6 separate regions of the Mus musculus genome follow, and regions 1, 2, 3, 4 and 5 are each reported to be linked to region 6. Evidence: microRNA targets listed by miRTarBase, many of them from high-throughput screens and not tested one by one. Region 6 holds a microRNA gene; each other region holds the end of a gene's coding sequence.

Region 1 (3,122 bases), not on the chromosome of region 6:
CATTTCTTGTATGCCATAATGTAGAAGAGCACAAGTCCCACGCAGAAGCCCTGAACGTCCTTCCTAAGCAGTAACCCGCATTTGCCTTTGCCTAGGTCCCAGCAAGCATCAGAGCGCTGTGACCTGCTTACAGTTCAACAAGAACTTCGTAATTACCAGCTCAGACGACGGAACGGTCAAACTCTGGGACTTGAAAACGGGTGAATTTATCCGAAACCTCGTCACATTGGAGAGTGGGGGGAGCGGGGGAGTTGTGTGGCGGATCAGGGCCTCAAACACAAAGCTGGTGTGTGCAGTCGGGAGTCGGAATGGAACTGAGGAAACCAAGCTCCTGGTGCTGGACTTTGATGTGGACATGAAATGAAAAGCAGACATGATGAATTTTGTCCAACTGTGTAGACAATATACTCCCTACCCTTCCCCCTGCGCAAAAAACAAAAACAAACAAACAAAAAAATGAAAAAAAAAAACAGAAAAAAAAAAAGAGAAAAAAGAAAAGGAAAAAAATCCCTTGTACTCAGTGGTGCAGGATGTTGGCTTGGGACAACAGACTGAAAAGACCTACAGACTAAGAAGGCAAGAAGAGACAAGAGACCGTAACTGACAGGAGGCGGCAGCTGTCGCATCTCGCAAAGGCCTCACTTGTGACTGAGGGGCAGCTTGGCAAGACGACTCTCTAAATCCAACCAGGTGCAATTATTCTTTGTTTTCTTCTCCAGTGGTCATTGAGCAGAGCTACATCAGCGTTGTTACCGTCACCTAGAAAGGAGTGGCAGTAATATCCAAACACGGGCTGCTTATCTTCTAATCAGAGCATCTGCAACAAACCGTCATTTTTCTGAAGTGGAAAAGCTTAAAACAATTACTGTGAATTGTTTTTGTACAGTTATCATGAAGCTTTCTTTTTTCTCTTTTTCCTGTTTCTCTTCTTTTCTTTTTTCTTTTTTTTTTTTGCCAACCATTGCCAATGTCAATCAATCACAGTATTAGCCTCTGTTAATCTATCTCTTTACTGTTGCTTCTACTCTTCAATGCATATGTTGCTCAAAGGTGGCAAGTTGTCCTGGGTTGTGTGAGTCCTGAGATGGATATAATTCTTGATGCTGGTGCTAGAAGTAGGTCTTCAAATCCGGGGTCGTTGTCCCACCCCTGTACTGTACTCCCAGTGGCCAAACTTATTTATGCTGCTAAATGAAAGAAAGAAAAAGCAAATTATTTTTTTTTTATTTTTTTTCTGCTGTGACGTTTTAGTCCCAGACTGAATTCCAAATTTGCTCTAGTTTGGTTACAGAAAAAAAAGACTTTTTTGCCACTGAAACTTGAGCCATCTGTGCCTCTAAGAGGCTGAGAATGGAAAAGTTTCAGATAATAAAGAGTGAAGTTTGCCTGCAAATAAAGAATTGAGAGTGTGTGCAAAGCTTATTTTCTTTTATCTGGGCAAAAATTAAAACACATTCCTTGGGACAGAGCCTGAGGTGCCTGTTCTGTGGAGAAACTTCTTTTTGAGGGCTGTGGTGAATGGAAGAACATACATAGCAAAACTGACAAGATATTTTAAAGATATATAAAACACAAAGGAAAAGGAGGTTGCTGGTCAGTCGTAGCATCTTACAGTATTGGGGAAAACAACTGTTACAGTTTCATTGCTCTGAGTGACTGACGTGAGAGGAATTCGCTCTGCAGTGACGCTGTCTGTCACTCGCCTACCAGCTCGACGAGCAAGAGAGCGGGAGTCAGATGGTCCGCCTCATTCACCAGGAGCCGTAACTCAAGCTGAACTGTGAAAGTGGTTAACACTGTATCCTAGGCCGTCTTTTTTTTCCTCCTCCTGTTTATTTTTTGTTTGTTTTATTTATAGTCTGATTTAAAACAATCAGATTCAAGTTGGTTAATTTTAGTTATGTAACAACCTGACGTGATGGAGGAAACAACCTGTAAAGGGATTGTGTCTATGGTTTGATTCACTTAGAAATTTTATTTTCTTATAACTTAAGTGCAATAAAATGTGTTTTTTCATGTTATTGCGCCTGTTTCTTCCACTAGATAATACTGTTTCATTATAACTATATAGTATTTGTGTCAGATATTTTAAATAGTCAAGTTTTGGGTTTCTTACATCCCCTGCATTGTGACTTAGAAACCAGCACTTCCGAGCTCAGCCAAAGCTGAGGCACTGCAGATGGCACCCCGAGCTGTCAGGGAGGCCACTCTTCTGTTTGCATTGTGTGTATGAACATGAAAGCTCGTTTCTTCAGTCATAAAACTTGGAATTACAACTAGAAGCCTTGTAATAATGAGTTCACCTTCAAATCCCATATACCAAGTGTTCACCAAAGCACTCGCACCATTCTTCTCTCAGGCTGAGAGAAGTAGCCTCTGTCACCTTTGACTCAGATGGCCCTGAGAGCTTCAGCTCAGACAGCTTAGGTGGTGCCTTAGATGAAGTCGCGGGATGGCAGGATTGAACTCGTTCCCAAAGGCTGAGTGTACGCTGCCTCTGATGAAATGCTAGCAAACTAAAACAAGGTTTGAGGGGAAATGCCTTGTCTTGTTTTGTTTTTTATAGTATTTACTCTTCTGCTTTTATAGAGGCTAGAAAGGCATACATCTCTAATAATCTCAATAACCCAGGCTATAGGAAATAAATCTTAAATAAACATGGAGTCTTTCTCTGTAGAGAATGAGGTTCTCATAGCCACAGCATCTGTCCTCTTTATTCACAGAGCCACTGTCTTAGTTAGGGTTTCACTGCTGTGAAAAGACACCATGACCAAGGCAACTCTTATAAGGATAACGTTATAATGGGCTGGCTTGCAGGCTCAGAGAGGTTCAGTCCATTATCATCAAGGTGGGAGCATGGCAGCGACTAGACAGTCATGGTGCAGGAGGAGCTGAGAGTCTACATCTTCAACTAAGGTTGCTAGGAGAAGACTTGCTTCCAGGCAACTAAGACAAGGGCCTTAAAGCCCATGCCCACAGTGACACTTACTCCAACAAGGCCACACCTCCTAATGGTGCCACTTTGTGGGCCAAGCATGTACAAACTATCACAGCGACACTGCTCAAAGGCTAAGTCACACTCTATCTTAAAGTGGACCCTGAGCATAAAGAGGCACTGTCTT
Region 2 (3,121 bases), not on the chromosome of region 6:
AGGGGTCCCTCTGAAATTTTTTTTAATTTTTATTTTATATCTATGAGTGTTTTGCCTTTGCACCATGTGTGTGCAGTGCCCATGAAGGCTAGAGGAAGGCATCTACTGTAGCTCCTAAAATTGGAGTTACAGGTGGTTGTGAAACACTGTGCTGTGCTGAGAACTGGACTCCAGGCCTTTGGAAGAGCAGCGGGCGTTCTTAACCACTGAACCATCTCTTTGGAGCCTGTGTCTTTTATCTGGGTACTAATCCTTCTCAGTGGATCCTTGGGCACCTGCTCCTGCCACCCCCCAACATCATTGCCACCCCTGATTAAGGCTCTACCTCCAAACACCATCAATACCATCGTATTCAGGTGTGCGAAGTCTGAACTGGAGAATGTACACATTCAGAAAACAAGGCAGGGCACGGTGACACATTCCTTGAATCTTAGCCCTCATGAGGCAGAGAAACCAAAAGAAGCCAGATGGACAGATGAGATGGGCCATCACAGAAGAAGAAATTTCTGGAAAGCCATTTCTTATATGGCAGCCAAGGGCTGTTTGGCGGCAGCTGCCCATAGAGGGGTCAGCAGTGCCAAGCAGTAAAGGAGAGGGAGGACATGACAGCAGTGTGCCCTTGCCCAGCCTCCTGTTTACAAGATGTGCTAAGGTTCATCCCTGGGACAGAGAGGAGAAGCCCTGAACTTTGAGAGTCCCTTCCTTTGCTGCCTCTGGTCAACACAGTGCCTGAGTACCTAGCACTAGGAATCACACCAGTGAGTGTACTAGCAGTGGCCCAGCTCTCCTGATGAATGAGCCAGCTCTGGGAGCAGGGATATTTTCAAGGTCAGTGAATTGCACTTAGGGTCTCTGCTCTCTGTGTGTGTTCCACCCCTGCTTACAAAAACCCGGGTGCTGCGACAGCTCACTTCAGCTTAAATAACACAGACATGGAGGTTCTAATGAAACAGCTCTGCCCCACATCCCTGGCATGTTAAAAGAATGTGAAATGGCTGCATTCCATGAGGGAGAGGGGCAGCCTGAAGCTGACCATTGCCCTCTGCAGGACAAACCCCAGGCTACTCCAGGAGACATAGAGTGTCTTTGGTTTCCCAGGCCAGTGTGGAACAGGTGGCCTTGAGTCCACTGTCACCTATAGAAAGAAGCTTGCATTTGAAGGAAGGTCAGGGGAGGAGTTGAGAATGAATGTCCATAGATGTACTCAAGGGGGTGTCCCTATAGCTTTGTCCCCTCTGGTCATATAGACTAGATGCTCTTGGAAGGAATGGGGTGACCACCCAACCTGGGACAGATCAGACATGAGACTAAGTTGGACTGACTTGGGGTTGACATGTGGAAGTGCCCAAGGAAGGCATGTCTCTGATGGCAGCAAGTGCCATGAACACACTGAAACAGAAGGCCAGGGATAGAACCTGACATTTCCCATTTATTTGAGGCATAAGCCAGCCTTAACTCTGGCTGGCCTTCAGTTGGCCCTTCCTGCTGGGGCTCAGGAAGGGAGGGATCAAAGGGTTCCTTTGGCCACTTTGATGGTGTTGAGTTAATGGGGAGTCAGGTCACCCGGCCACCTGGCCTGGGAAAAATTGCTTCACACGGGAGTTTCAAGATGACTCATGACCACTGTCATTGTGCGCCCCCACCCCCAATAACTCTGTGGGGACATTCAGTGAATAAAGTCAATAAACAGGGGAAACGAAATTCTGGGCTGGTGCCAGGCCAGGGCAACGCTGGAAGAGCCGAGCCCGCGGCTTGTTTCTGTCTTTCCGCATGCCATCCGAGGCCGGATGGACAGTGTCCTGTCCCGAACATCATTCCTGGCTTTCACGGAAAAACTTATAGGCCTAGTCCGGTAAACAGGTCAGCGTGCAGGCCCAAGTCCTGCACCCGCAGCTGCAGGTGTGGTGAGCTGAAGTGAAAGCCGCTGCCTGCCCCGGAAAACCGAATGCTCAGCCTGTAGTGGACCCAGGGAGCTGAGGGAGGGAGGCAGCGACCCCAAGGGGAGGGAGGGGCGATTAGAGCTGGGGAGACCCTCACTCCACACCCACACCAGTGACCAGGGCTGGGAAGACTAAGTCTCTGTGTCCCAAAGCCGCCCGGCCCATTCGAATTAGATGCAAAAGAATAGCCACACCGGCAATTTCCAAAAGAGGCAAAACCGTTTATGAAATCGGCGCCGGTGCAGTATCTACAGTATCTACACATATCTACACGTATCTACACCGCCCGCAGGCGGGGCTCTCTCGGTCGTCTACACTGCAATTGCCGGCCGGGCCGGAGGCGACGAGGTCTCGCGGAGAACAATAAATACCACTTCCTTCCGCCTGGACGGGAGCTTTGGCACTGGCGGGCGGGAAACCCGCATGGCTCCCCAGATGGGGAGCGCGTCCTTGGATGGCCCTCGGGGTCGGCGCGCGGGCGCACTATCTGGGGCAGTAGTCGTAGGCACCGGGCGGCGCGGCCGCCGACGAGTACACGTTGGCTGCTGCGGCAGCAGCGGCGGCGGCGGCCGGGTTCACCGCGGGGTGGTGGTGATGGTGCGGGTGCGCGTGCGGGTGCGCGTGCGGGTGGTAGCCGTGGCCGCGCAGGCCTGGCAGCGGGTAGGGCGCCGGCCGGCTCTTGGCCCCGAGGTAGTGGTCGTAGGCGGCGGCCGGGTACTTGTAGGGATGGTGGTGCAGCGGCTCGGACGCGCCCGGCGCCTCCAGGCGCAGATCGGCGTGCGGGGGACTGTGGCGGCCTCCGGATCCGCCGGGTAGCGGGACGAGGCCGCCAGGCCCGGGCAGTGCGGGGCTCAGCACGCGCGCCAGCAGCTGCGGCGGGTGCGTAGCGTCGCCGAGCGCTGCGGGTCCGGAGTCACGGTCGAACTCGCGCCGGGCTTCTGCAGCGTCTGCGGGGAGAGCCGGGGGTGAGCGCAGGGCAGAGACCGTCGGGGCGCACCTGCGGAGCCACAGCCCCCACCTCCACCCCGGCCCGCGCCGTCCGGGGAGCGGCGGGCGGGAGAGCGAGTGCCCGCTTGCCCGCCCGTCGCCTCCCTGTGCAACTCTGAAGCACTGACGCCCGGGGGTGTGGGCGAGGCCGGGTGCGGCGGCAGACCCGGGAGAAGCGAGTGCGCACGGGCTGC
Region 3 (3,000 bases), not on the chromosome of region 6:
GCTGTGCAGTTGCTGTACTCGGGCCCCACTGTGTCTCAAGACTTAATATGTGCCTGGGTTGGGTTTGTTTTTCAGGAGACTGAGAGTGAAGCTGAAGATGACAACCTTGATGACCTAGAGAGGCACCTGCGGGAGAAGGCCCTGCGGTCCATGCGGAAGGCTCAAGTGTCCCCACAGTCCTAAGCGGACATGTTTGTTATGTTGTAAATTTTATTTGGTTTGTACTCAATTCAATTTCAAAATTGCTAAAATGTGTTTGAGCTTTAGACTATAACATTTGTTGTAATAATTGCTAGGTTGAAGTTCACCATGTTTAAAAAAAATGGGGGGCATGGATTTACATTACAAAGGCGTCCACGGTGTATTAGTGACATTCTTCCATTGACATTTAGAGTGAAATATTTTATGCCAAAAAAAAAATCTCTTTTTTAAAAAAGGGGGTTTGACTATTGTTGGCATTCTTGTGGTTCCTTTAAATGCCCTTACCTCTCCCAAGAGGTTGTTTTGTTTTGTTTTCCTCCCTTTTCTCTTGAATTTTAGCATCCACATAAATTATGCTTCCAACCTTGTATAGGTTTGTAAGCTTGCCCAGAAGTGAGACCACTGTTGAAGTACCACAAAAGTTTGAATGAACGAGTGAGTGTTCACTCTTTTGTCTGTGGAGTCTGCTGTGTGGCAGGATCCCAGCCCTAGAGCTGCAGGGCTGCCCTGTGGGACAGCGCAGCCTAAGCTGATTTGGATCTGGGTTTCTCCTCCAGGTAGGGTTGTTTTGTTTCCTTCGCCCTTTTCTTCTCTGTGTAAAGGCGATTCCCTAGACCCAGGATGGACCCTTCAGTTATAGAAATTTGTTTATGGAACCCGGTGGCTCCCGTCATGTTTCTCCTTACTCATCCAATTGGTACCCACAACTGAAGAGCTCGTGTATTTGGCGGGCTGGAAGGGCCTGGACAGTGTCTTGGTTTCACTGTTTTATTTTATTTTATTTTTTAACTAAAGCTATATAAAGCTTGTGGATTAAACAGAATAAATTTCTAAATTTAAGAACATTGCCACTCACATTTATTCGCCTGCAGGGGAGGACGGAGTTCAGGGAAAATAGAAAGTGATGTCGCAGGCTCTCCCCTTCTTACTGAAATAACTAACTGCAGAGATGTCAGCAAGGGAGAGGGGGGTGTGTTCTTGGAACATGGAAAGCTGGTGAGGAGAGAGGCAGTTTACAGCAGGGCATGGTGTCAGTGTGAAGGACCTCCCAGGTGGCACTTGGACCTGAAGCTTGTGACACCAGAAGTCTGAGCCTAGTCTTTGGAGGCACAGATAAATTTGATTGTGACTTCTAATAGATGAAACTAGAATACAAAATGCCCACATCTGAATTTCAGGAAAGCCTAAGGGTGTTTTGTTTTTTGACTGAGACAGGGTTTCTCTGTATAGCCCTGGCCGTCCTGGAACTCACTCTGTAGACCAGGCTGGCCTCGAACTCAGAAATCCACTTGTCTCTGTCTCCCAAGTGCTGGGATTAAAGGTGTGCGCCACCACTGCCCGGCCCTGTTTATGACTTTTAACCAAAAGACAGACACTTAAGACTTCGGTAGGGCCAGGCTCGAACCTAGAAGGCCCCTTCAGAAAGCCCTGGATTAAGAATCTGGACCCACACCAGCTCAGAAGAGAAGGGAAGGGGAACGGGGAAAGAATTGTGGGGGTGGAGTGACCAGGAGAGGGGCAGTGAAAAAAACCTGGGAAATTTAATGATTCCACATATTTCTTTATAATCCCCAACATTTACCCTAAAGTTACACATATAAAGACAGCTTTCTCGTTAAAAATGAATCTGGAGCTGGACTGGAGAGGTGGGGTGGCTCAGTGGTTGGAAGTATTGCTGCTCTTCCAGAGGACCCGACCGAGTTCAACTCCCGGCACCCATATGGCAACTCTTGATTGTAACTGCAGTTCCAGGGTATCGGACACCCTCACACAGACATAACGTGCAGACAAAACAGCAATGCATGTGAAATTAAAAAAAACAAATCTGGGGCCTTTTGTAGTGGTTTACTCCTTTAATCCCAGCATTCAGGAGGCAGAGGCCGGCAGATTTCTGAGTTTGAGGGCAGCCTGGTCTACAGAATGAGTTCCAGGACAGCCAGGGCTACACAGAGAAACCCTGTCTCAAAAAAAAAAAAACTAAACTAAATCAAAAGACTTAAGCAGTGAGCTGGTTTTACATGGAACCTACAGTGAGTTATAATGAAGAAACAAGGTACTCAGTGAAGACAATCCTAGAGGACTCTAGAGCTGGGAATAGTCTCATGTGCAGAGCTTTCTGTGTTCTTCCATGTGGAAACCAACCCCGTGTGAGACAGGAGAAGCAGTGTTGAGCGACTACAATGCGGACTCCCTGTATAAACAGTCGGAGTATTTGCTTCTGTTTAGCCTGACAGTTGGAACATTTGTGGCTGACCCATGCAACACAGGAGCTTTCATTCTTTCCAACTGAAACCTGACAGCAGTCCTTGCCTATACAGCTAGTTGAAGCTGTTTAGAGGCTAACCCAGTCTCTACTCATTTTTGAGTCCCATCTCAAAAATGGAGCACATGTCTGTAACTTAGGCAACAGCAGAAGGGCCTTCCCCCCTAGTTAGTTGCTTGTGAACTCAACAGAAGCTAGAGTTACTGCACAAGGCCACGCCAGCAAGATCAGTCAGCATCTCAGCCAGCAGCACTAACTGGACTCAAGCACAGGAGGCGGTCAGCTTCCTCGGCACCGTCTTCATCTTGAAGGCTCGGCCATCGTTTCCTGACCCATTTCTGAACATAGAAGTTACTAGAATTTGGACCTCTGTTTAGCATCATTTCTATAGTGTCCTCATAAATTAAATGGTGAATCAGCATAAAACCGTAAGGTGAGACATCACATGTACATCGTAGTCATTCACGGAGCCCACTGGGAGTGGAGGGACAGCCTGATCTACATAGCAATTTCCAGGCAATTTCCAGGCCAATCAG
Region 4 (3,122 bases), not on the chromosome of region 6:
AATCTTTGGGCTGTTGGCTTCCTCTCTCTATGAGGTGATATATGTTCACCTCCCCCCAGGAAAGTCACAAAGCATCTGTCTCATCTTGTTCCCTCCTGTTTGCTCTACCAGTCCAAATGGATCATTCTAAAATGCAGATTTATTTCTGTTCTTTCCCTGGGTTGATCCCTCTGCAACTCCCCGCTACCCTCCGAACGCAGCTCAGCCAAGGCCCATGTGGTCCTGTCTCATCTCGGTGTTCCTAAGCTCCTTCTCATGAGGAGCTGTGGGTCTACAAGGTTGCCCCACTCTTTTTGTGCTTGCTGTGCCTCAGCTGTGAGCTCCCTCTGCTGTCCAGTCCCTTCAGGATTCTCCCTGGCAGCTCTCTGCTTGTGTTACTGCTCCTGTCCGTATGCACGGTCTGTGTTCTATGTGTCATCGATCATGATGCGACCAATTGTGAAGAGGCTCAACCCCCAAGTGTCTGGTTGCCTCCCAAAGGGAGGACGTGTGTTCAGTGGCCTCTTCCCCTTGAGGACAGGATTGGCATATGTCCAATGGACAAGTTATGACTGATCCCTGAGGGGCCTCGAGAGAGTGTGTAAGGAACCCTACAGAGCTCTGAGAGGCCAATGGAACATCAGAGTAACGGAAAAGCTCTGAGCATCTCCTCCAGGATGGTCTTGCAGGGTAGGCAGAGTCCACTCTCTGCATGCAGTGGTCCTTCCTGAAGGTGTCTTTTCTGTGTCTTGAACCTGGCCTATGGGAAGTTAAGGAGAGGATCTGTACAAAAGGAATGCAGGAGGTACTGAGGGCCTAGGGACAAGTGTTAAAGGGAGGGAGAATGTATGCCAGGCCACTCCAGGGAAGAATAGAGGTGTGTGTGTGTGTGTGTGTGTGTGTGTGTGTGTGTGTGGTCCCTCACGGCCATTGTGCATTGCCTACACTTGTCTCTCCTGACACATCTGAATAGCACTTTGTCCAGAAAGCTCACCTTGCACTCTGGCTGCACCAATGGCCTCCCCCTGCCCTCTACACAGTCTGATGGAAGCACCACAACTCTAGAGATATACTGGTCCCTTCTGCCCCTCCCTCCTCCCACAGGCTCTGAGCCTCTATCTTCGAATGAGATGAGACAGTGGAAGATGTTCTGAGGGTTGGCTCCTGACTGTGCTGTCCCTGTGCAGTCCCACTATCGTTAAGGGCTTGCATACACCACATGGCTCATAACCCATCCCCAGGGCCCTTTAGCTGTCTCTTCTTGCACTGTATCTTCCCACCCTCCTCCACACGTGTGAGGGTGTTGTGTGGATCCAGGGCCATACGCTCTCACAGAGCCTTCTGGACACACTGTGTGGATGGGAGCCATTCTCAGCTTAGCACACACTTGGGAGTCCCTAAAAGGAGACTTTGGAAAGTAACAATAACTGGTCCTAGACAGACTCATTCTGCCAGAATCTTAAATGGGTAGAACTAGTTTTTTGGTTGTTTTTTTTTTTTTTTAATTAATCCATTATTCTACGGGCAGGGTTTCATGTATCCCAGACTGGCCTGGAACTTGCTGTGTAGCTAAGGATGGCCACACACTTCTGATTTTCCTGTGTTACCTTCCGGGCCTTGAAACTACAGCTGTGTCCCCCATGACAGGTTGATATGGTGCTGGGGACTGAGCCTGGGATTTTGTGCATGCTAGGCAAGTGCTCTATCACCTGAGCACCTCCTTAACACCAACTTTTAATTTTGTATTTTAAAGAGGTTATGTCTTTATCGCCAGGGTGGCCTCCAGCTTGCCTCCATCCTCCTGCCTCGGCTTCTCAAATATGTTGAGATTACAGGGATGAGCCGCCACATCTGGCTTTTTGTATTTTTAAACGAACATCAACCTACGTGCATCTTTCCACCGGAGCCACTGGTTTTCTTGGGTGCGGCAGGCAAGGCCTGGGGAATTCCCTACAGCTGGAGGTCTGCCAGCCCTTCTTCATTACCCAGCACTACCCAGCCTCCGTGCTACCCTTCTGCCACCTACAGGGGTCGCTGCGAGACAGCCCGCCCAGTTCGTAGAGTTTCTTTCTGATCCCCTTAGGAAAAGCCAGAGCCACTTTGTATAAATTAGCGTCTTTATTTCCAACACCTGAGCGAGCGAGCCTCGAGGCTCGCCCGCTTGAGGAATAAACATACAAAGTTTTTGTTGCACTACACAGCATGCCTGGGAGATAAATATAGCCCAAGGGGCTCCCGCTCTGGCCAAGCAACTCTTATTTACACGAATAGATTACAAAAGTCTTATATAAAAAAATAAGTGGTCCTGAACCGCGGGAAGGGGGAGAGTGGGGTATGGTTACACCTGTTACACCTGAGACCTGAGTGGCCTCCGCAAGCTGTGGGGAAAAGTGGGTGCCAGGAGGGCTCCAGAAAGTGACAAACAAAAGGATGTGGAGGGCAGGGCTTAGGTGTGCAAGGCTCACCCCTGTGCTATGAGGAAAGGAAGAGCGCCTGGCCACTCAAGGATCAGCTCTGGCCCAGTGAGGTGCAGCCAGAGTGCAAGTGGCCTTCGCTGTGAGCCGCATGAAAAAACAAACAAACAACTGAAGGACTACAACAACAACAACAAAAAGGACTATGTCCTTTCTTTGGGGCTGGATCTAGGACAGACTTCTGCTCTTCCCTTCCCTCTGGAAGAACGGCTTCGAAAGGACAGTTGGGAAGAGTGTCATTTAAGCTTCATCTTTTGGGCGTGAAGAACCAGGGACACCATCCCCAGGAGTGCCTACGGTGGTGCGCCCTCTGCTGCTGCAGTCGATCTCTCAAAGCACCTGATAAATCGCATTGGGGTTTGAGCCTGCAGGACACTGAGGGGCGGCGTCGGGAGACGGGGTCTGGGTTCCCTGTTCTGTGTCGCTTAGGGATGCCCCCTCTGGCGGACCCGGAGGCGACTCTGGTGGTGCATCTGCCAAAAGCAGCGCAGGCGCAGCGGGGCTGTCTGTGGAGATGCGCTCCACTATGCTGGACAGGCAGTCGAGGCTCGACACAGCCGCACTCTTCCCTGGCCTGGACTCTGTGAGGGGAGTGGAAGGTTAGTAATCCAAACTTGCGGCCCTTCTCAAGTCTCCTGCCCATAGGCACGGAGCTTTGTAGCAAAAGGG
Region 5 (3,122 bases), not on the chromosome of region 6:
AGCTGTCTTCTGAGTCATCTCTGTTCCTGTAAACAACCTATATTCTCATATGCCACTGTCAAACTCACTGGTCCTCCAGGTCGGGCTTTGGTGGTATCTGTACTCTGCTGTCATTGGTTCCTTAGCTGGGGTGAATAGGTGTTTGCTCACATCTCTCTAGTGCTATACTACAAACACTTAACTATATCCTAGAACAGAACTCAAAAGGTCTTGTTTCAACTCGGTTCCCATAAGACAAATAGTAAACTTTGCTCCCTCCTTTCTTGGCCTTAGTGTAGGTCATTTCCCTAAATGGAAACTATAGTCATCAAGTGGCTACACACCTCATTCCCACCGATCTCCACCCTAGCAAGCACCATTCTACTTCCTGCCTTATGAATTACTTACCTCATTTAAGCTTACCAGACCCTACCATGGCCACAGGGTCTATCCCCTATCTGCTCTGGTGGTTCAGGCTAGGCCAGGCCTGTCTTCGGGGAGAGGGTACCACTTCCCAAGAGCATTCCCTAGATGTCCGCTCTCACCTACAATGATCATGTTGGGCAGCTTTCATGAGTAACAGTGGGCTCAGGAAGAGAGCTTTGCCCACCTCTGTGTTGAGGGCACAACTTCAGGGCTCCCTCCTCTGTACTAGAGACACATACCTGAGGGGTCTTGTGGAAAGAGCAGCCTGTAGCCGGCCCAGCCCTGGCTTTAGCTGTGTTTGTTTCTACGTTTCAGCCACTTTAGGTAAGATTTAGTGCTAAGTCTGAGGGCCACAGAAAGCACTACAGTCCTTATTTCCTTCCTTCCTCCTTCCCTCCCTCTCTTCCCTCCTGACTGGATCTTGCTACATTGACCTTGCTGGCCTTGAACTCAAGTGCTAGGACTAAAGGTGTTTACCCAGCCGGTGTTGTCTATAAATCTTACTTCAAAGTCAGTAAGTGCTGGGCAGTGGTGGCGCACGCCTTTAATCCTAGCACTTGGGAGGCAGAGGCAGGCAGATTTCTGAGTTCGAGGCCAGCCTGGTCTACAAAGTGAGTTCCAGGACAGCCAGGGCTATTCAGAGAAACCCTGTCTCTAAACAAACAAACAAACAAACCCAAAGTAGGCAATGCTGTGTACGGTTCCAGAGGGCTTGTGGTCATCTAGAGAAAATCTTTGGCTGTTATAGAAGTGGATATTCTTATTTTCCAGAGGTCCAGATCATCACCCACCCTAACTTTGCAGGAGTCAGACACCATCCCAGCAAGGCCACCAGCCACTAGGCTCTGTATATGTGTAGTCCATGCCTTAGGGGAGGCCATCTGGCTGGAGGCCTCTAAATGTTTTGCTGAGCAGTTGCTGTTGCTTGCTGCAGTTCCACCAGTAGTCACCAGGTGTCACCAGCAACATACTCAGTATATCTTGGTGGCGGCTTGGACTCAGGATCGCAGACACTCTAGAGTGACCTTGGTTCCTGTCACCTCTGTCCAGACCCAGAACAGTCCCCAGTTCTGTTCAGTCACAGATGTGCTATGTCACCTCAACCAAAGCCTCCTGAGCCTTTTTGAACTGTATCGCCAGCGCATTATCCTTCCTGGTATCAGGGCCTGGCTTATTGCTCTGCCAGACACACGACAGCTGGGGCTGGCAGGTGTCTTAGATGGCCAGGGAGGGTCACTGCAAGAGTAGACTCCAGAGACAGTCAAGATCCTCCCACTTCTGTCAGGAGTGTCCTGCCATGAGGACGACATCCCCTGGAGCCTCAGGGACCAGTTCCCAGGACCCACCCTGATGTGACCCCAGCCACACCCCTTCACCTCCCACCCACTAACAAGGCTGTGACGCTCCACACCAGAAAGCAAACCACAAGCTTGAAAAGCAATTTTTATTGAATTTGGAGGGACAGTTTCTTATTATAATAGTAAAAATGCTGAAGCTGAATGTTGTAAAAAACGACATGGTGCAGCAATGGCCAGCGTCTGGCCGGGAGGGGACAGGCCAGGGTGACGGACAGCGGGAGAGGGAAAGCATCTAAAAGGACAAGTGCTAGGAGAAGGGCTCACGTGAGGCAGGCGCTCCCAGGGTACCCGCTAAGAGCCACCACGCGGGAGCGGGTGCGGGAGGGCAGGGGCTCTCCTGTCACCAAGATTAAAATCCCCTAAATGTCTCTGAACAGCATGGGACACAGCAACAAACTGGATTCTTGTTCCTCTGTCAACCTCACTTGAGCCCTGGCCATCCCATCCAGCCCTAGGGCTGAAGCAGCTGTGACCTCTCCCCGCCCAGAGGGAGAGGGCCAGTTAGCATACCACAGGGGGGTGCTTCTGGTGCCTTCTTGCTGGACTTTGGCCCTGGACCCTAGAGACAGGTGGCGGCCAGGGTGGACAGGCCAATGGGGGCAGTGACGGGACCCACCCAGACCCATGAGCCCACATTGCACATGGTCGCGTCAGTCCTTAATAGTTTTCTACATGAATCTAATTGTTCTGGGCACTGAGGCCACATGTGTGGTCTCAAACTGGATGAAATAAATTAAGAAAAACCCCAGGATAGTTTTCCTCCTGACCTGGCTGGGAGGTAGGCTGCTGCCCACAGTAGAAACATCCTCCCCTGGTCCTGGAGGCTGGCAAGGTTCCTCCCCAGCGCATCCGAGAAACAAAACATCAGGTTCAGATGATCCATGCGGGGCTTCTGGACTCGGCAATGCAGAGGAGCGTGGAGCTGCCAGCCGCTGCCCCAGGCCTCAGGCTGTGCCACTGGCTGAGTAGGAGAACTGGGGGAAGTGCGGCCTCCGCTCACTGTCCACACACTCCATGCTGTCATCTGTGGGCCACAGGAGGGCTCAGACCATCTCTAGAAACAGCCCGCCCACCTGACACATGCCAGAGGATACAAGGGGGCCCTGTGAGGGGGCAGTGACTCTGGCCCTCAGAACACTCCCTCCCTCCCCGCCAAGCTGCTACCACCCTCCAAAGGGTTTGTTTGATTCTTTTAGTTTTGGGGCTGAGAGAGAGCTTAGTGGTTAAGAGCACTGGCTGCTCTGGTAGAGGACCCGGGTTCAGTTCCAGTGCCCACGTGGCTACTCACAACCACCTGTTAACTCCAGTTCCCCCCCAAAAAAAGCAGGAGTGCAAGCCAGACACTGAGGGGCCATGGAG
Region 6 (3,122 bases):
GAGTATCTGAGGAAAGCTACAGTGTACTTACATATAATAAATAAATAAATCTTAATAAATAAATAAATAAAATAAATAAATATTAAAAAAAAAAATAACTGAGGTCCTGGGGTGTCCTTAGAGAGAGAAAGACTTTAACTAAGGTCACACATACAGTCGTGCATCTGCAGAGTCACAAACATGTGTAGCTCCCAGGGCAGCTGCCTTGGTTACCTATAGAGACAGGAAATCAACCCTAGGGCCCAGACTTCCCAAACAGGCCCACCCCACCAAGGTCCTCCATCTAGGATAGTCACTGGCCCTAACTCCAGAGTTGAGTTGTAGGAACCTGCAGTCTAGACTGTCAGCACACTCTCACTGCGCCCCTCTGTGCTCAGGTGTCAGCAGCCTAGCCACAAAGCAGCGAGCTGGAGGGGCTAACACAGAGGCCGCAGCTCCAGATGACCTCAACACACTCCGTCCATATGGGAGCCTTCATTCCTTTACCCTTCTAGGGCCTGGGCAAGATTCCTAGATGTCTGAGTGGAGAGTATGCCATCTCCACCCTCACACCCCAGCCAGAAGCTCCAAAAGGGGATCGCATAGACCAGAAGACACTTCCTTGTGGCCTCAGAACCTACCTGAAGAACAGCCCTCAGGGGTTGAGGGCGGGAGAGGAAAAGCCATCTGTCTCTCCCTCACCAAGCTTAGGATTCCCACCATCCCTGTGAGGGCCACCCTGGAGCAAGGCTGGATCCCAAGTCCTTTTCACCGAGAAGAGGTCGACTTCATGACTTGTGACCTCAGGGGGGCGCAGGGAAACATTAAGGGTCACTTCCAGCTGCGCCCACCCTCTGCCACTGCCTGGTGGTCTGGAGACAGGAGTCCCCTCTCCTTCCTGGTGATCGGCAGGTTCCGGCACGGTGCAGACCTTCAGCAGCTCAGCACTTACACCATAGTTGGCAAGTCTAGAACCACCGGGTCCCATTACCTTACCGGTGTGAGTTCTACCATTGCCAAAAATGGTGGGAGGCCTCCAGCAGCCAGACCAGTAAGCCTATGCTGAAGAAGAAGCAGTTAGGGTGGTTTTAGGAGGGCGCTCTTCCCACAGTTAACACAAGGTCCAGACTATGGTCCTTCGGCCTGTATGGTCCTGTTCCAGTGTAAAACCTCCTCAAGCCCTGCCTGCCCTCCAGCCACCTCCCCCCCACCCCACGACCACCTCCCCCCCTCCCCACGACCCACAGTCCCTGTGTAGGGGCATTAGGCAGTGATGGAGCCATAGCCACTGCTCTCAAAGGCACTGTACCCCAGGAACCTGCCAGTGGGAGCTTGGGAATGGGTGCACTCTGGGTCAGGGAGTCCCCTGCTTGGTAACCAAGGAAGAGAGTGGCATGGGGCCAGCTTGCCATCTACCAAGGCCCCCAGGTGGCATCCTGTTTAATCCCTTCCTGACATTCCCCAGAGCCTAAAGTTCCTCAGCTGTCCCACCCCCCCACCGGGAGGGAGGTAAAAGGTCAATGCATAGATCCCACTTCCTTGTCAAGCCACAGGCAAACCACTGCCCGGCCTGTGGTCTCCTCCCTGAGGCTGGGGAGGAAGAACCCTAGGCTAAGACCTTCTCTGGAGAGTCTAGACAGCCATCACTGCAGTCTAGCAGGGCCAGCCAAGCGGAACACAGCTGCATTAGCACATCCACACAGCATTCTCCCAAGTGCAGAGATTTCCTTACCCATCCCTTCCAAAAAGACACACACCCCTGCAGCCTTCAAGGAACCCCAAAGATGGTACACTTCTTTGCCCCCAAACCACCCATGGATTCATTTCCATAAATCTAGAGGAACTGCTGGCTGGCAGGGCCAGTGATGGAAATGCCACCGGTCCCTCTGTCCTCCTGCAGGGCAGGGAGGATGAAGGACCCAAAGATGATGTTTTGGAAGGGCAGAGATGCAGACGAACCCTGGACACTCAAGCTGGTCACTGCCAGTGGCCTAAGCTTGGGTGCTGAGATGACTCCACTGCCCAGAGAAAAACTTGCTTTATAGCTGGGCCAGAATTGTGGGCCACATCTGTGATCCCAGTACTGAGTTCAGGGGCTGGGGTGATCTGCTTGGCAAGGAAGCTCCTTGAAACCTTGACCTAGAGTGTGTCCCCAGTGGGGACACAAGCAGGACCTTGGTTTCTTGGCCACATACCTCCCAAAGGCAGGCCACACATTTTTATCACATTATAAAGTGTTAAGGCAAGCCACTGGTGAGTTGAGTGGGTCACTCCCTCCACTCCAGTGTGAGCGGGGAGGGTCCTATCCTGTCAGCACCCCTAACTGCTCAATCTCGGGCCACACTAGCTAGGCTGGGAGCGAGCAGCCCCGCCTGCCTGCGATCAATGGAGCCAGATCGCATTTCCAAGAGCCAGAGGACTGCAGAGCTGGGGCAGGGACCCGGATAATGGCCTGGATTGAATAAGCAAATGCAGGGGTGGGGGAAGGGCGAAAGTCTGGAATAATCCACCTCACAGGGACTCTGGGGAGCGGCTGGCCCAGGCAACCCCAACACCAGGCAATGAGGCAAGGAGCCTACCCAGGAGGCAGCAACTCAGGCACCTAGGAGCCACCGAGCCCGAACAATATAAGAAGGTCCCCAGTGGATTAAACTGCACCAACTGCCCTGAGAGGGTAAGGGTAAATCCTTCCGCAGGATCAGACAGCCAGGAAGAAACTGGTCCTGCTTGACAGGGTGAGCCCTCCCCTCCTACCGCACCCTCACCAGCATGGTCCTCTGGAAGCTGATTTTCTGCGGAGTCCAACCAGCCTTGTGGCCTCTGCTCACCGGCAGTCACTACTATAGGTGAACTTTCACCCAGGTCGAGAACAGGCTAGATGAGGAGAACCAGAAAGCTATGGCCAGTGGTCATCCTTTGGGAATGCAGGCCCCAGAGGGGTGGAGCCCTGAGCCTGGAAAGAAGTATAGAACTGGGCCATACCAACACCTGCTAGTGAGGTCTCAGCAAAGCCTCCACCAAGGCCAGTGTGAGAGGCAGGACCACTAGGGGTCTGAGGACTGCTTTGGTTAGAGGGACCCAGCTCTGAGTGGCCCCCTGAGTGCTGGACAGGAGCAGAGTTGGGTTCACAGAGGCAAGACCCG

Evidence for each region. The annotated mature microRNA mmu-miR-182-5p reads UUUGGCAAUGGUAGAACUCACACCG and lies in region 6 at 976-1,000, opposite strand. An mRNA with a match to its seed (bases 2 to 7 or 8) in the 3' UTR can be bound and repressed. Matches are read on the target gene's strand: a 7mer-m8 pairs with bases 2 to 8, a 7mer-A1 pairs with bases 2 to 7 and ends in A, and an 8mer does both.
Region 1: miRTarBase lists Fbxw7 as a target of mmu-miR-182-5p. Seed matches in the 3' UTR shown: 7mer-m8 at 952-958 and 7mer-m8 at 962-968.
Region 2: miRTarBase lists Tbx1 as a target of mmu-miR-182-5p. Seed matches in the 3' UTR shown: 7mer-A1 at 2,337-2,343.
Region 3: miRTarBase lists Srrm1 as a target of mmu-miR-182-5p. Seed matches in the 3' UTR shown: 7mer-A1 at 407-413.
Region 4: the mRNA of Myod1 is a reported target of mmu-miR-182-5p. The part of its 3' UTR that is shown has no 7-base or 8-base seed match.
Region 5: miRTarBase lists Akt1 as a target of mmu-miR-182-5p. The part of its 3' UTR that is shown has no 7-base or 8-base seed match.

Annotation. Positions count from the first base shown.
Region 1 is chr3:84,977,178-84,980,299 of GRCm38, forward strand. Fbxw7 (F-box and WD-40 domain protein 7) reads left to right here. Exons shown (of 14, transcript NM_001177773.1): 14 at 96-2,021. The coding sequence ends at 364. Among named protein-coding and RNA genes, the nearest start is that of Gm30944, 44 kb to the right of the region's middle.
Region 2 is chr16:18,579,570-18,582,690 of GRCm38, forward strand. Tbx1 (T-box 1) reads right to left here. Exons shown (of 7, transcript NM_011532.2): 7 at 2,135-2,887. The coding sequence ends at 2,424. Among named protein-coding and RNA genes, the nearest start is that of Tbx1, 5.8 kb to the right of the region's middle.
Region 3 is chr4:135,318,530-135,321,529 of GRCm38, reverse strand. It overlaps Srrm1 (serine/arginine repetitive matrix 1), which reads left to right. Exons shown (of 18, transcript NM_016799.4): 18 at 76-1,045. The coding sequence ends at 183. Among named protein-coding and RNA genes, the nearest start is that of Gm12984, 14 kb to the right of the region's middle.
Region 4 is chr7:46,378,056-46,381,177 of GRCm38, reverse strand. It overlaps Myod1 (myogenic differentiation 1), which reads right to left. Exons shown (of 3, transcript NM_010866.2): 3 at 2,086-3,034. The coding sequence ends at 2,784. Among named protein-coding and RNA genes, the nearest start is that of Myod1, 3.1 kb to the right of the region's middle.
Region 5 is chr12:112,651,991-112,655,112 of GRCm38, forward strand. It overlaps Akt1 (thymoma viral proto-oncogene 1), which reads right to left. Exons shown (of 14, transcript NM_009652.3): 14 at 1,831-2,787. The coding sequence ends at 2,708. Among named protein-coding and RNA genes, the nearest start is that of Mir6939, 5.8 kb to the right of the region's middle.
Region 6 is chr6:30,164,987-30,168,108 of GRCm38, forward strand. It overlaps Mir182 (microRNA 182), which reads right to left and starts at 1,006; the gene lies at 932-1,006. All of the region lies in intron 1 of Mirc35hg (microRNA cluster 35, host gene), which reads right to left.